3 linked regions of the Saccharomyces cerevisiae S288C genome follow. Changing the gene in region 2 together with the main gene of any one other region gives a genetic interaction. Each region holds a gene or a part of one and is shown on either strand. Other genes may lie near its edges.

Region 1 (4,393 bases), on a different chromosome or scaffold from region 2:
GGCTTTTTTGTTCAAATCCAATGACAATCTTCAGGCCCGTCTGCTTAATCAACATAGCAAATACAGAGACACCTTCCAATTGAAAAATTGACTTCAGAAGAGGTTTGGAATCTAAAGAATGCCATTCAACCAAAGCACTTTCAAAATAATCTAACGATATGTTAGAAAGCACGTTATATTTGAGTACATCATTCATCTCATTCTCCGCCTCATTAGGGACGTAAATCAATATAGGTTTATCAGATTCATCTATCAATGATACGAAGCAAGGCCTCAAGCTCATAGTTTGGTGATATAAACGTACAATTTGATTTTTGGAGAGAATATTTACTCAATTTTCAACTCAATAACTTTTATGTAAAATGTTTCTTGGCCGTCGATGAGCTCTTCCGGCAGAACTTCGAAAGTGAAAAAAAAAAAAAAAAAAAAATAATAATAATATTAATACTACTTATATACTATTAAAAAATCGTTTAGAAATGATTCATTTATAAAATTCGTTACTTGCGGTCATTGGCAATAGATTCAGCTGCGGTTCTCCCAAAGACAACGCATTCTAACAAACTTGAACCACCCAACCTATTGGCGCCATGAACACCGCCAGAAACTTCACCGGCCGCGTACAGGCCTTTTAGTAGCCTTTCGTCGTTCTTGCCAATGACTTGAGCCTTGACATTGATTCTAGCACCACCCATGGTGAAATGGACAACCGGTGTTACTTCACCAATAAAAACCACAGTTTCTGGAGTAACGTCAGAGCCAAATTCGTTGAGAATAACGGTACGTCCCAACGGATCAGCCTTGGTAGTGAAGGAAGAGTATGTTTGCAATTCCTCGCATAATTGGGCGACAGTGATTGGTAAATTATATTCAGAAACAACTTGAGATAATGTCAATTTCTGTACAAGTTTCTTGAACATGTAAAAATCTAAATTATTCTTCAAATCTGTGTACATTTTTTCGCCCATAACCAATAGTGCTCTGTTATCCTCTTGAGGACAAACCTTTTGAATAGCTGCAGTGACTACATCTCTTGTGGTCAATTCGTTGACAAATCTTCTACCGGTAATAGGGTTTAATAGGATACCACCAAGACCTCTTAAGGATTCGGCAGCCAAGAATTTCCAGCTTGAGCTACGGTCATTTGGATCAATGAACCCAGTTGGATGAACTTGAATTTGGTCCATGTCAATCAGATCAGCGCCTAACTTCTGCAGAAGCCTTTGACCATCACCAGTTGTTTGTTGCCCGTTTGTTGTTGGCAAGTTCACCAGTTCGGGTGCGTATTCTTTAAGCATTTCCTTAGAAAAGCCAAACCCTCCAGAACAAAAAACGACATCGTTAGCACTCACCATGTGCTTTTCGCCATTCTTGTCCTCGTACACTACAGCAGAAATGGAGCCATCCTTTTCATGGATGTCTACGACTTTACTGTCTAAGTTAATCTTAACTAACTCTGGTTTAGTCTCAGCTAATTTCTTCAAATTGTTAGATAAGGCAGAAACAATTTCGAAACCTGGAGGCAACTTCCCAGACGATCTGTGAGTTCTTGCCACAGAGTGGCCACCCAATTGAGCCAATAGGTCCAATTTCAAATCAAATTCGTTTTTCAACCATTCAATAGCCAGGGGAGAATCATTGGCCAACTTAGCCATTAATTCTTGGACACCTTTACCTTTAGCAGACTTGATGGTGTCATCTTCAAATAAGCGTGGGGAGTCCTCGATGTGGAAGTGACGTTGAGTCTCGGTGCAAGCACCGTTAATACCACTGGAGGCCTTGATAGAGTTCCCACCGATCGAGGAAGCCTTTTCGAGGATGGTTACAGGGATGTTATACTTGTTAACCAATTCATTGGCAGCAGCCAGCCCGGCCAAACCGGTTCCAATAACAACAACGGGAGAGAGAGACATTTACAATTACGGATGAGGGGTTGTTGAAGTGAAGATAAGAAAAAAAAATGGGGTGCTATGTCAGCGTATTGTTCTCAGCTTTTATACGTGCAATAGATTAAGCTGTTCAGGAACGCGACGCGTTGCCCCCGTTACCGTTTGAAAAGAAAAAAATTTTCTTTTTCATACCTGTCTCTATTGTTTCAGTCATTCACTGCATGATGACAAATGAAAGAAGAAAGACAATAGTAGTAAAAGCAAAAAAGGAATTAAAGTGAACGTTTTTTAGACTCTTACGCATACATATAAATATATATATATATTTGTATAAAAGGTGTACGTCGAAATCCTGTGAAGAAACCCTGCGAGAATATACATGGGTACATTCAATCTTAATACGTAGTATCGTAGAATACAAAGAAATGTGCTTCTCCACGTGGATACGTACCGTTGTAAACTTTAATCAAGTACCAAAAAAACCAAACATATTCAGTCGATCTCTCAATGGGGAACAAAGAAAAGAGGTTCTTACCTTTTTTTCCTCCTTCCCTCAGAAAGACCACCTTCGTCCCTCCATAATAGGGTAGTTAGTCGCTAGGTGCGCTGGAAACTAACCATTGGTTCTCAAATGTGCCGACATAATTAGTTATAATTATGGTGTGAGAGTTGAAATATCCTTGAATAACAAAACAGAAAAAAGAAAAAACCCATTTGAATATAAAAATCATTGATGCAAAAGAAAGCCGTTAAATCTACAATGCCACGAAATTATTGTAATGTATGAAAAAAAGGAAGAGGGTAGCAATCCTAAAACAAAAACCCTAACAATACACATGATGCAACTGGAACGCATCAGTATTTGTAGGTTTTTATTTCGCGGATAGCGTTGCCATCAACGTCGACCTCGGTGGATTCACTACGGTAAATCTGGGTAGGTCCGTTACAGTCGAAAGGATGTTCTTTAGCATAGTCGAAGGCCTCGGAGATGGCCAATTTGACTTTTTCCAAAGTATCTCTGGTGACTTGATAGTGGAACGAGACTCTACCACCCATTAGCTTAACGTTGTACTTCAAACCCTTCTTAACAAGGACATCTGGGTCCATTCTAGCGGCCTTCAGGTTAATAAAGACAAAGTTGGTGTCTGCTGGAGACTCTAGCGGGATGCCCTTTGCCTCACAATATTCGGCTAATTCATGAGCCAAAGAGTGCGAGTACAGCAATTGGGACTTCCAATCGTTGTTGATGTTTACAAGAGCCATTCTAGCCATCATACCAGATTGTCTAATACCACCACCTTGTTGTTTTCTGAAATGGGTGGCCTTCTTGACAAACTTAAGGTTCCCAACCAAGACGGACCCAATAGGAGCACCCATAGACTTGGATAGACAGATGGAGATGGAGTCGAAGATTTCCCCATATTGCTTTAATGGCACGCCAGATTGTGCAGCGGCATTCCAGATTCTGGCACCGTCACAATGTAGTTTGAGACCATTTTCCATACACCAAGCTTTGATGCGGACCAGTTCTTCCAATGGATAAACAATACCGTGTAAAGTGTTTTCCAGAGAAATCAATCTGGTGGGGGCACCGTGAATATCACCGTCGTCTGGGACGTAGTGTGACTTGATGTCTTCCAAGGTCAAGTAGTCACCGTTGGAAGGAACCACAGGAACCACCATCGCTTGAGACAAGATCGCCAGTCCAGCGGCTTCGTGAGTGTAAACGTGAGCCCTGTAATCACATAGAATAGAGTATGGAGGTTGCATCAAGTGAGTTCTGATGGCAATCTGGTTGGACAAAGTCCCAGAGACACAGAACAAACCTGCTTCTTTGCCAGCCATGCGGGCAACGGTCTGTTCGAGCCTAACGGTGTCAACATCTTCACCGTAGACAGCGTCACCGATAGAGGCCTCTAAAGCGGCCTCCATCATCTCTGCAGTTGGAGTGGTGAATGTGTCTGACCGCAAGTCGTTAGCAGCGGTGATATATTTTGGAGGCAATTCGAATTCAGTCATTGTGTTTATGTTTGCGTTTGTGTGCGGGAGTAAAAGTGAGTGTAAGCCTAGGAAAGGAGGTGGTTACGAACTAGCCAGCGGAAACAATGTACGTATATGTATGTAAGTATTACTCTATACCAGACAGAACAAGATAGACGAGAAGGACACATGGAGGATTTGACAGGCAAGCTCAACACTTGCTTATATATATACACATATGTGCTATTGCAAATGCAAAAAGCGTATATCCAGTGAAGAAAAAGACGAAAAAAGACGAAGAAATAAAAAGAAAAACCGGTGAACGAATATGGCAAGTGAAAAAGTGCGCAATGAGTAATACAAAGGGCGAAGCAGCGGGAAAAAAGAAACGGCGCTGCTGCCCGGAAACCGGAAGCGAAGCTTTGTGGGGTACGGGTGCATGCTCGGCTTTTTCCAGATAGGGGAAGTGCCGTCGCCAAAAAGGCAAGGGTCCGTTTCGCGTGACATTTCATAGCGGGCCAAGC
Region 2 (6,340 bases):
CTTACCATTTTGGTTACCAGATTTGGAAACAGATATTAGACAGGATCCTAAGCAAGCATATGAGGAGGAAAAGAAAAAACTGTTGAAACAAAAAGAGATACAAAAGAAAATTGATGGAATGAGAAGGCTTTCCAACTTAAAAGAGCCTCAACATCAAGCAGCAGTACCGGTATCTCAAGAGGAAAATGAGCGTATTACCTCTCAAGGTGATTTGGAGGCAGACGGTTCATCCGATGAGGAAACTGAGCAAGAACCTCATTCGAAAAGATCAAAGAAAGTTCGGAGAAGAAAACCCAAGGCCACTTTCTTGAGAATTTTGGCCGGTAGAGATCCAAAGTTAATGGGGGTGGATTCTGAAGAAGAAGAAATTGAATTGCCACCTGGTGTGAAAAAACCATTAAATTTGTTAAAAAATGCTGGTCCTGTAAACGTGGAGGCAAAGGTTTGGCTTGCCAACGAACGTACATTTAACAGATGGTTAAGTGTCACCAGTTTATTGAGTGTTTTGACGTTCTCAATTTATAATTCTGTGAAGAAAGCCGAATACCCCACTTTGGCTAACTACATGGCATACGTATATTTTGGTCTAACGATATTCTGTGCTTTATGGTCCTATTCCATTTATATGAAAAGAGTTGATATTATTCAACAAAGAAGCGGTCAACATCTAGATGCACCACTTGGTCCAGTTTTGGTTTCTATAGTTTTATTTGTCACTTTAGTGGTTAATTTTGTTATGGCGTTTAGAAATGCAGCAAAGTCTCGTCAAGAGTTGCAAATACAGAATTTAGAAGTTCCTGAAAGAATACCAGAAGTATTAAGGCCACTTCAAAATTATCTATTCAAGTTAATGGGGCCAAGCAGTGATTAGAATATGTACTCTATCTACTGAGACCATGTGTTTTTATGTTTGTAATGTGTAGCAAAAAATTATCATCTGCTAACAATTGCTTACTTTTAGAAATCACATTTAAGGGGAAGTTTTAAATCATTCATAAATATCAATGCATTTACATAAACATCATTTTCTCCGGTTTTTGATAACTCTGTACAGAAATAATGGATTATAGTTTTAAGCTAAGCGGAAAAGCCAAATTATTCTTCAAAATTTTCGATGAAGTCGGAGTTTATTTCTTTTAATTTCCCTAAAGTCAAGGGCTCTTTTTCATTTCCTGCACATTCTTTCAATATCGCTACAAGATTGTGTATTCTCTTCATTTGGTTTATGGTCTTTTGATCAACAACGCCATTTGAATCTTCGTTTTCAGTCCTTGCTTTTGCAATTTTCAAAAGCGAATGGATATTGTACGCTTCTGCAATAATATCCGGGTTGAATATTTTTTTTACCACCCTTATTCCACTATTCTCTATTGCGACAGATTTCTGGGTCAACTGATAATTCATTTTGACAGAATTGTCATTGAGAAGGACTGCATCCATATGAAGATGGGAAACTGCTGGCTTCTTAGACATTATTTTAGGAATGTCCTGGAAGTGTGTAGAAAGAAATACCGTTGCCTCCGTTCGAAGTAAATGTTCAGTTACTGCCAAAGACACACAAAACCCATCAGCGATGCTTGAACCACGACCAAGTTCATCTAAAATTAACAGTGTTTCTGTATTTATGTCATCTAAAAAGTAAGCCATTTCTTTCATTTCAAAACCAAAATTTGATGAGGTTAATTCCATACTGTCATTGCAGACTCTTGCATGTAGACGTTTAAAGACAGGAAAAGACCCATAAAGTGCCGGTATACCTGATCCCATTTGGGCCATTATGCAAATAAGGGCAACTTGTTTTAAATAAACAGATTTTCCACTCATGTTGCATCCGGTTATGATTTGTAAGCTGGAGCTATGTTTTGTACTTGATATGGTGTTAGGGACAAAATTTTTTAGTACCTTTTCAAGTAGTGGGTGTCTTGAATCTCGAATTAGTAGATTGTTTGTAAAAATCGGTATTGTGTAATTATTTTCTTTCAAATTATATGTGAATGAACAAACCAAATCCAGGATAGCCACTGCTTCTGCAATCATAAATAGTTCAGAAATATGGGTTGCAATTTTATCGAGCAGTTCATCAACTGTCTCTTCACTTAAAAGTAAAATCTCTTCCATAACTTCCTTCAACCTCGCATTTTTTTTTATTATATTTAGGGTTGTACATTCAATATAATTTTTTTTTATTGTTCTTGAAATGAATACGTCTGGAAGTGTAGCGACGTCATCGGTAAATTCCTGTCTTTTTATTCTGAGATAAAAGCCTCGTGCAGAATCGTAATTATGATCTAAATTGATTTTGTTTTTAGCGGTAAGATCTTCTACCTCACGAAAAAATTCCTCTTTTACCTCTTTGTAGATTTGTCTAGAAACATCCAAAAGCCCATTGGAATCACTTTTCACAGCATATGAACGTTGGTTAAGTAGTTGTATAGCTGAGGATGCCCAGACACAGTCTTCATTTATACAACTATTAATTAATTTTTCAATTTCCATAATTGCGTCATTATTGAATATTTTTTTGGTCTCGCTAATTAAACGGCTTTGAATTAACTGATCATTAAGTGCGTCTTTCAATGACTTCACGCTTTGTAAAGTTTCCTTTAGCAACAAAACGTAATTAATTCTTTGGTCAGGTTTTATTGCAGAATGATTAATGCATAATAACCTTGAAAATAACTTATCTAGATCAGGCAATGATTTCATTTCTAGCCTTAATTTTTGTAGAAGGTCATCATTGGCTTTCAATTCTTCTAGGGCCTCTAGTCTCATTTCGATACTGCCCCTATCAGTTAATGGCTGCAGTATACTGTTCCGAAGTGATCTTTGTCCCATTTTAGTGGACGTGGTATCCAAGAACTTCCATAGTGATATGCCATTCTTATCCAATTTATTTTCTACAAGTTCTAAACCTCTGACGGTTTTAGAATCAATCAGCATTGTATTTTCTGTTCCTTCAAACTGTATACGTAGTTTTCGAAACGCATTCAAATTTCGGCTGCTTTTGGATATAATCTCTTCCATGTAGCTTATCGCAGCAGATGCAGCACAAAGAGCAAACGTTTTATCTATAATCTCCTCGATTTTCAAGTCCTTTTTTGTATCATCCATTAAATACTTTGTAATCGCCGCCAGTCCATCTTGGCTATTGAAGCACTTTCGTGAACCCTCTTCAATTTTAACTGTCTCGGCCACATTAAATTTTATCATTGTCGCTAATTTTGATACTGTTGGAGCTAGAGAACTGCTTGGAATCAGTATTTCCGTAGGTTGGTAAATTTGGAGTTTATGAACTACACGAATGTAAATTTGTGAATCCATGAAATCTGAAAGATACATCTGTCCCGTGTTACAGTTGATAATACATAACCCAATCCGCGTACTTATGTCTCTTGGCACTTCGTATATGCAACAAAGAACACAGTCAATACTAGGACCGAGGAGTGAAGCGTTGGTGCTGTATCGACTTAAGGAGGTTGCGGTCCTAGAGGCCATTGATCCAGTCATTAAGTAATGGCTATGTGTTGAATCTTTTTCATTGTTTTCCCATGTTGTCTCTGCTATTTGTAGCGTTTTCTTTTTGAGAGCCCAACTACTTATGTTAGTTGGCGATTTTTGGTTCCTGATACTCTTTTTCGTACTTGGCTTCGAAATAGAGTTTGAAGAATTAGCCGCCGACCTTAAATTGAAATAATTTGTACTGATAAAACTAGATAGATTAGATTCACTCATTGCATATAGTTTGCGTTGATCAGCTACAGATTTCAATGCTATAACTAGTTATTTTTATATGTTTCACTTTAAGTAAAATCCAACTGCTCTTTTGCTATTCTTCGTTGATGCCTTATATGTATGAAAGCTGTACGTTCGGGATTTGAAAAGGAAATGAAGACGCGAATTAAAAAAAAATAATAAACTGGTTCATAGCAGAAAAGAGGAGACTAAATAAGATTTTGCTCTCATACAGATGCAACACATAAAAACTTTAATCGATTTCAGTATGGAAAAAGATATGATACAATAAAATCTAAATCTTAGAAACTGATTTTGAATAAAAAAACGACCCCAGTGAGGGTTGAACTCACGATCTTGCGATTAACAGTCGCACGCCTTAACCAACTTGGCCATGGAGTCAGTCACTTTTGAGTTCTGCAACTCTTAAAACGGAATAGACTACGTAAAACAATGTCATCCCATACCAAAACAATCCTGATTTCTCAAAGGCATCGCAAACCTCTGGAATAAAAATCCACTATCATCTATCAACTAATAGTTATTCAATATATTATCATATACAGTGTTAGATGATGACATAAGTTATGAGAAGCTGTCATCGAAGTTAGAAGAAGCTGAAATGCAAGGATTGATAATGTAATAGGATAATGAAACATATAAAACGGAATAGTCTAACATTAGTATGTAGAAATATGGATTCCATTTTGAGAATTCCTAAATCCTCGAGGAGAACTTCTAGCATATTCTGTATATGTTGGAATAAAAATCAACTATCATCTACTAACTAGTATTTACGTTACTAGTATATTATCATATACGGTGTTAGAAGATGACGCAAATGATGAGAAATAGTCATCTAAATTAGTGGAAGCTGAAACGCAAGGATTGATAATGTAATAGGATCAATGAATATTAACATATAAAATGATGATAATAATATTTATAGAATTGTGTAGAATTGCAGATTCCCTTTTATGGATTCCTAAATCCTCGAGGAGAACTTCTAGTATATCTACATACCTAATATTATTGCCTTATCAAAAATGGAATCCCAACAATTACATCAAAATCCACATTCTCTACATGGTAGCGCCTATGCTTCGGTTACTTCTAAGGAAGTCCCATCAAATCAAGATCCGTTAGCCGTTTCAGCTTCCAATTTACCGGAATTTGATAGAGATTCCACTAAGGTTAATTCTCAACAAGAGACAACACCTGGGACATCAGCTGTTCCAGAGAACCATCATCATGTCTCTCCTCAACCTGCTTCAGTACCACCTCCACAGAATGGACAGTACCAACAGCACGGCATGATGACCCCAAACAAAGCTATGGCCTCTAACTGGGCACATTACCAACAACCGTCTATGATGACGTGTTCACATTATCAAACGTCACCTGCGTATTATCAACCGGACCCACACTATCCGTTGCCACAGTATATCCCACCACTGAGTACTTCCTCACCTGATCCAATCGATTCACAGAATCAACACTCTGAAGTACCTCAAGCTGAGACAAAGGTGAGAAATAACGTCTTACCACCACACACTTTAACATCAGAAGAAAACTTTTCTACATGGGTTAAATTTTACATCAGATTTTTGAAGAACTCTAATCTCGGTGACATCATTCCAAATGACCAGGGTGAAATCAAAAGTCAAATGACTTATGAAGAACATGCGTATATATACAATACCTTCCAAGCATTTGCCCCATTTCATTTATTGCCAACATGGGTAAAACAAATTTTAGAAATTAATTATGCTGACATCCTTACAGTCCTTTGTAAAAGTGTGTCCAAAATGCAAACTAACAATCAAGAATTAAAGGATTGGATAGCTCTTGCCAACCTTGAGTACGACGGAAGTACATCTGCTGATACATTTGAAATTACAGTCAGTACGATCATTCAGAGGCTAAAAGAAAACAATATCAATGTTAGCGACAGATTGGCCTGTCAACTAATACTTAAAGGTCTATCCGGTGACTTCAAATACCTACGTAATCAATATCGTACCAAAACGAACATGAAACTTTCCCAATTATTCGCTGAAATTCAGTTAATATATGACGAAAATAAAATCATGAATCTAAATAAACCGTCCCAATACAAACAACACAGCGAATACAAAAATGTTTCTCGCACATCTCCAAACACGACTAACACAAAGGTTACAACTCGTAATTATCATAGAACAAATAGTTCAAAACCAAGAGCAGCAAAAGCTCACAATATTGCTACATCTAGTAAATTCTCAAGGGTGAACAATGATCACATTAATGAATCAACCGTTTCATCACAATACTTAAGCGATGACAACGAACTTAGTCTTAGGCCAGCAACAGAAAGAATCTAAGCCAACACACACAATAGACTCGAATGACGAACTACCTGATCACCTTCTTATTGATTCAGGAGCTTCGCAAACGCTTGTCAGATCAGCCCATTATTTACACCATGCAACACCCAATTCTGAAATAAACATAGTCGATGCTCAAAAACAAGACATTCCTATAAATGCCATTGGTAATCTTCACTTCAACTTTCAGAACGGCACCAAAACATCAATAAAAGCACTACACACACCAAACATAGCCTATG
Region 3 (5,956 bases), on a different chromosome or scaffold from region 2:
AAATTAGTGTGTGTGCATTATATATATTAAAAATTAAGAATTAGACTAAATAAAGTGTTTCTAAAAAAATATTAAAGTTGAAATGTGCGTGTTGTGAATTGTGCTCTATTAGAATAATTATGACTTGTGTGCGTTTCATATTTTAAAATAGGAAATAACCAAGAAAGAAAAAGTACCATCCAGAGAAACCAATTATATCAAATCAAATAAAACAACCAGCTTCGGTGTGTGTGTGTGTGTGAAGCTAAGAGTTGATGCCATTTAATCTAAAAATTTTAAGGTGTGTGTGTGGATAAAATATTAGAATGACAATTCGAGATGAAATTTTAAGCAAACTCTAGTAGGAAATAAGCGGCTTATTCTTGTTGGCTCCTAATTCTTTTTAGTGTATCAGTTCCCATTGATAAAAAAATTAAAATTAAAATTAGAAAAATTAAACCAGAAAAATCAAGTTGATTAAAATGTGACAAAAATTATGATTAAATGCTACTTCAACAGGATTAGGTTTCCTTTTCGTGTTGAGTAGAGACTCTTTGCATAGCAGCCATGAAGTCTTCGACACTTCTGGTAGACTTCTTTTCCTTCATTGGCTTACCGTTCATCAATCTGTCAAAGGCTTCAGAAGTGGACATTTCGTAGTAGAAACCACCCAAAACACAGAAGATACCGATAGACCAGATCCAGACACGGACGACAGTAACAATATCAGTCCAGTTTTCAGACCACCAACCGAATAAGGTAAACATGGTAGCGATGATGTCGACAGCGAAGACGGCACCAGCCAATTGCCAGGATGGGATAGAAGACCAGAATGGACCAGCAGCTCTGGTAATGAAAATCAACCAGTTTTCAGTCAAGGAAATTTGCAAGAACATAATACCGTTCATAGCACCGAAGTTTTGGATAATACCACCCTTTGGTAAGAACATAGTAGTCAAGGTAATCCAAGAACCTATAGCTAAAACTATGCCCAAAATAATAGACATACCCCATAATCTTGGTAGGTTCCATTTAACGGGCTTTGGAGAGTAAGGAGCATTATCGTAAGCAATAGCCAAAGTAGCAACATCAGCGAAAATAGCGATGAAAACAATCAAATCAATGTCCAAAGAGTTATCCAAAATAGCAATCCATAGACCCAAGAAGATTTCCAAATGTAGAGACAAAGCAATACGGTAAACAACGTAAGAGTACATTCTGTGAAAAATTTGTCTGGAGGTCTTCAAAGCATCAATAATAGCAGATAGACCAGGAGCCAAGAAAACAATATCAGCAGCAGATCTGGCAGCATCAGTAGCACCTTCGACAGCAATACCAGTATCAGCCTTCTTCAAAGATGGAGCATCGTTAACACCATCACCAGTCATAGCAACCAAGTAACCTCTGTTTTGCAAGATTTCAACAACTCTGTATTTATGTTGTGGGAAAACTTCAGCGAAACCATCGGCATTTTCAACAAAATCAGCTAATTCAGAACCTGGCATGTCACCACCGCCACCTAGACCTAATCTTTCAGCGTTGTAAATGTTGGTACCCAAACCCAATTGTCTACAAGTTTCCTTAGCAATACCAACAGCATCACCAGTTAACATCTTAACTCTTAGACCCAAGTGTCTAGCTTCGCTAACAGTTTGAGCAGTATCGTCTCTTGGTGGATCCATACATGGCATAACACCCAAGATTTCCCAGTGACCTTCACCTCTCTTTCTAGCAACACCTAAAGCACGGAACCCTCTAGAAGCCAATTCAGCAACCTTGTTTTCGTAGTTTTCATGGACATCTTCTGGGATTGGGTGATCTTCTTCGACAGTCTTCAAGACGAATAATGGAGCACCCTTAACACAAACAATTCTTTCACCTTCTGGAGATTCGACAACGGCAGTAACCTTCTTGGAGACAGGGTCAAATGGATGGAATTCCAAAACCTTGTACTTGGTCAAAGCGTCCTTAGCCTTTGGATATTGCTTCAAAGACTTCAAGAAAGCCTTATCAATAGCATCCAAACCCTTCTTCTTTCTGGAAGCAGCCAAACAAGCAGTCAACATCAAGTCGTCTGGAGAAACACCTTCAACAGTGTATGGTTCGTGCAAGGACAACTTGTTCTTGGTCAAAGTACCGGTTTTGTCGGAACACAAGATTTCGACACCAGCCAAGGATTCAATAGCAGACAACTTTTGAACAATGGCTTGTTTCTTAGCCAAGTAAGCAGCACCGACGGCCATAGTGGTGGTAACGACAGCTGGCAAACCGACTGGGACACCAATAATAGTAATACCTAGAGTGTATCTCAAGATTCTAACAATACCGTTGGTTCTGTAGAAACAAGCAGTCCAGACCAACAACAAAGTGGCAATGACCAAAACCAATAAGATAATACCAATACCGTTCAAAACTTCAGTGAAATGACCTTGACCACCAGCGGCTTTGTTAACCAAAGCAGCAGCTCTACCAACGAAAGTGTTGTCACCGGTAGCGGTAACAACCATGAAACCTTCACCTCTCTTAACAGTGGAAGAAGAGAAAGTTTGGTCACCGTAATGTTTGTCGACAGCCAAAGATTCACCAGTAATAGCAGATTGATCGATTTGCAAGAAACAGTCTTCAGTGACAATACGACCATCAGTTGGGATAACAGTACCATCTTCCAATTGCAAAATATCACCTGGGACGACTTCGTTGGCTGGAATTTCAACCAATTGACCGTCTCTGATAACAACAGCAGTGTTAGCCAAAGTCTTTTTCAATTCATCGACAATAGAACCAGCTTGGAATTCTTGAACGAAACCAACACCAGCGTTTAACATTAACAAACCACAGATAACACCGAAATCGACCCAATCGGACAAACCGGCAGCCAAAATAGCAGCGGCTTCCATAACGAATTGAATTGGACCGACGAAAAACATAACGAACTTAACGACTAAAGATTCTTTTTCGTCAGCCATTTGATTCAAACCGTACTTCTTTCTTCTTTTCAAAACTTCATCGGAAGTTAAACCGTAAGATGGGTCAGTTTGTAAATATTCTTCTGGAACTGGTCTAGCTTCACCGGCGGCAACTGGACCATCGTTATCACTGTCTTCGTCGTCGACACCGTGATTAGATTGTAGTTCTTCGATTAAAGCATCGATATCGTCATCGTCAGAAGATTCAGATGCAGCGTCATCGTAAGTCTTAGCAGGCTTTTCTTGAGTTGGCTGATGAGCTGAAACAGAAGATGCTGAAGAGGATGATGAAGAGGATGATGTATCAGTCATATTGATATTGTTTGATAATTAAATCTTTCTTATCTTCTTATTCTTTTCAATGATTTTCTTTAACTAGCTGGGGTATATTTTTTTTCTTTCTTTTGAATGTGTGTATAAAAGAGAGAAAAAATGGTTATTTTCCAATTAATTAATTATTAACGATTGTTAAAGAAAAAATTTATCAACGAGGTTGATAGAAAAAAAAAGTTTTTGTAGATATAGAAGAAAAAAAGATTTTCACTATTGGTGTTATAGGAAAGAAAGAGAAAAAATTTAAGAGAAATTAGATGTTAGACGATAATGATAGGACATTTGAAAATAATACAATATTTGGCCTTTTTATATAATCGAAACTAATGGAGGGGAGCATAAGCGGTACCCACCATCGACCACGTTTCGTCACCGGTCATAATTGGAATAAACAAAACAAACAAACGAACTAAAGAGTGTGAGAGTAACAATTTCCACAGAGGTAAAAAAAAAAAAAAGGAAAACAGAAACAAAAAAAGCTCATAGTTCTACTATAGCTTCTTCAGACTTTCTGTGAACGAGGGAAAAAGACAACAAAAAAGCAATGGATAAACGGTCTCGAGAGATTTTTCATGATGGAAAAGGAAGGAAAAAAACCCGAAAGGCATATGGATAACATTCTGAAAATGTCTATTCCTGTCAAAAGCATGTCAGAGGTCTCGAGGCCTGGAAGTGCCGCATTAGGAAATACAGATGCAATGCGCGCGAGTTTACGAAATTCTCGCAGGAGTTTCTCCGGCCATGTGCGGCTGGTTCTACGTCTCGTGTATGGGTTTATTTCTGCGGTAATTATCGCCGGATCTCCGCTTCGAGACCGGGTTTGTTTTCAAATTACCGGAAAAGGTCAGGCAAAACAGAGTGATGTATGGGTGATCCCAGCAATGCCTGTTTATGTTTCTCCGTTTCAGGAAGCTTGTTTTGTTTTTTCCCCGTCAGCGATGGTGACGTAAACGACTTTTTGCACTTTAGCAAAGCTGAGTTAATCTCGGAAAATCTCTGTGTCCTTCCTTTTTCTTCTAGCTTCCGTTCCGAGTCTCATCTTCTTTCCCGTGCCGTCGGGTTTAGTAAAGAAATGTAAAGAAAAAATGTCGTATCGTACCCGAGAAATATTTCAATTCTCTTACGTATGCGATAGCAGTTGGAAAGATCTGATTCGTTACGATGACTTGATAAGCGCGGGCTTTTTCGCCCTATACGGCTTGGGCCTGACTAAAATGTGATTCTGTGTTTTACGTATATGCGCGTATATAGAGCAATTGATTGACTTATTACGCAGTTTATCAAGATAAATTCTTTGTTCTTGCTTACGGGAGTGTGGTAAGCATGTATACGCCCGTTTAAAAACCCGATGGAGGCTTTTTCCCCAATTCTCGTACTCCATTGGGCATATGATTTCTTTCTTTTTCCCTTTTTTTTTTTTTCTATTTCCCTAAACTAACAGAACAAGCTTCAAAACAAATGACGGAGAGAAAAACAGTTTTGATTTACCAAATGCGGCAAACTTATTGAGGCTAGACACAGCTCTACCGGATTCGTCCGAGCACTTTTTTGTTTTCTTTTCTATATTTACTACAAACATAACAAAGTTTTGTGCGTCTTCCCTAAAGCAGCTAGGATGAAAATCCTATGCTCTCATCTCGCTGGTTGCCATCTCATCGCATCCAATGCTGTCTGTAATCATTTTATTGGACTTTTCTTTGTTTGCTAATCCCCCTTTTCTTTTTCCCGTTCTTTTCTTGTCCTTGTTTTTCATTTTAACTATATTTCTGAAATTAAGGAAAAATAAGGCAAAAAGTGGGTGGATGCATCTGCGACTTCTCTAGTTTTGCGCCTACTTGGGCGCGCTAATAATAAGGGTTTAGCTTCTTAAAATAAAAATGTCAGTAACAGTTGTACGATAAGGTCTTTACTTTTTTTCTCTCGAGAAATGTCTTTTTCTAATTAATCTCTCTTTTCTGTTGTTGGTTACTGCCTTCCATAGTCCAAGACCATTCGTTATATGGTGCAGTGTAGGATCGAGGAGAATCGGCTCACGGTGCTTATATTATTGCCCGGCTTCAAGTATATTTACATCAGTCTCCATAGTTGTTTTATCTTATTCTTGGCATTGATCTGCTTATTAAACTATTTATCGGTTCTCTCTTCTGGTACAGAACTTAACATGATCTTGTTTTCACTATTGTGCCATAAGCTGAAAAGGCTAAAATAAAATTAAGATAGTAAAGTTCACTCTTAAACTAATCAAGCATGAATAATACAAAATAAATATTTGAGCCAAAGGGGATGATTTAATTATCAAGTTTTTCTTTTCATACTTCGGTTTACAAGCATTGTTTACGGCTCTTCTTTTCTTAGTTCTTGGCAGTTTGTGTTTTCTTGATGAGAATAAGAAAAGTATCGATCTTACGGCAAAACATAAATAAAACACAACTTTATCTTTTTTTGTCGCAGTAGTGTGGTCCTACAGCTCCAAGCCTGCCGCTTTTAAAATAGTGAGCTGTGCATACTGATATATGTTCTATTTTACCCATTTGAGGGGCCTAAATTGTCTATTAATTTTTTTACTTTAATACAGTTTGTATAGAAACATGTGGCACTAACAGCTTTATCCGCCCGCAGAAAAGATAAAAAAAAAGGGTTTTTACCCGGCAAAGAAGCTTCTCCATCATTTGTCAGGG

Evidence for each region. Genes that interact genetically often act in the same process or in processes that back each other up.
Region 1: mutations in MSH4 (region 2) and FRD1 together harm fitness more than expected from each alone (negative genetic interaction), as found in Saccharomyces cerevisiae (2 studies listed by BioGRID).
Region 3: mutations in MSH4 (region 2) and PMA1 together harm fitness more than expected from each alone (negative genetic interaction), as found in Saccharomyces cerevisiae (2 studies listed by BioGRID).

What each region holds. Positions count from the first base shown.
Region 1 is NC_001137.3:64,885-69,277, forward strand, and holds FRD1 (fumarate reductase), read right to left. Parts: upstream 1,914-4,393; coding exon 501-1,913; downstream 1-500. Other genes in the region: TCA17 (Tca17p), read right to left, coding at 1-283; threonine aldolase GLY1, read right to left, coding at 2,745-3,908. UniProt on the Saccharomyces cerevisiae protein: Irreversibly catalyzes the reduction of fumarate to succinate. Together with the second isozyme of soluble fumarate reductase (OSM1), essential for anaerobic growth. Involved in maintaining redox balance.
Region 2 is NC_001138.5:133,426-139,765, forward strand, and holds MSH4 (MutS family protein MSH4), read right to left. Parts: upstream 3,733-6,340; coding exon 1,096-3,732; downstream 1-1,095. Other genes in the region: VTC2 (vacuolar transporter chaperone), read left to right, coding at 1-871; YFL002W-B (gag protein), read left to right, coding at 4,779-6,095. UniProt on the Saccharomyces cerevisiae protein: Involved in meiotic recombination. Facilitate crossovers between homologs during meiosis.
Region 3 is NC_001139.9:479,410-485,365, forward strand, and holds PMA1 (H(+)-exporting P2-type ATPase PMA1), read right to left. Parts: upstream 3,258-5,956; coding exon 501-3,257; downstream 1-500. Other genes in the region: YGL007C-A (uncharacterized protein), read right to left, coding at 3,532-3,618; BRP1 (Brp1p), read left to right, coding at 3,851-4,228. UniProt on the Saccharomyces cerevisiae protein: The plasma membrane ATPase of plants and fungi is a hydrogen ion pump. The proton gradient it generates drives the active transport of nutrients by H(+)-symport. The resulting external acidification and/or internal alkinization may mediate growth responses.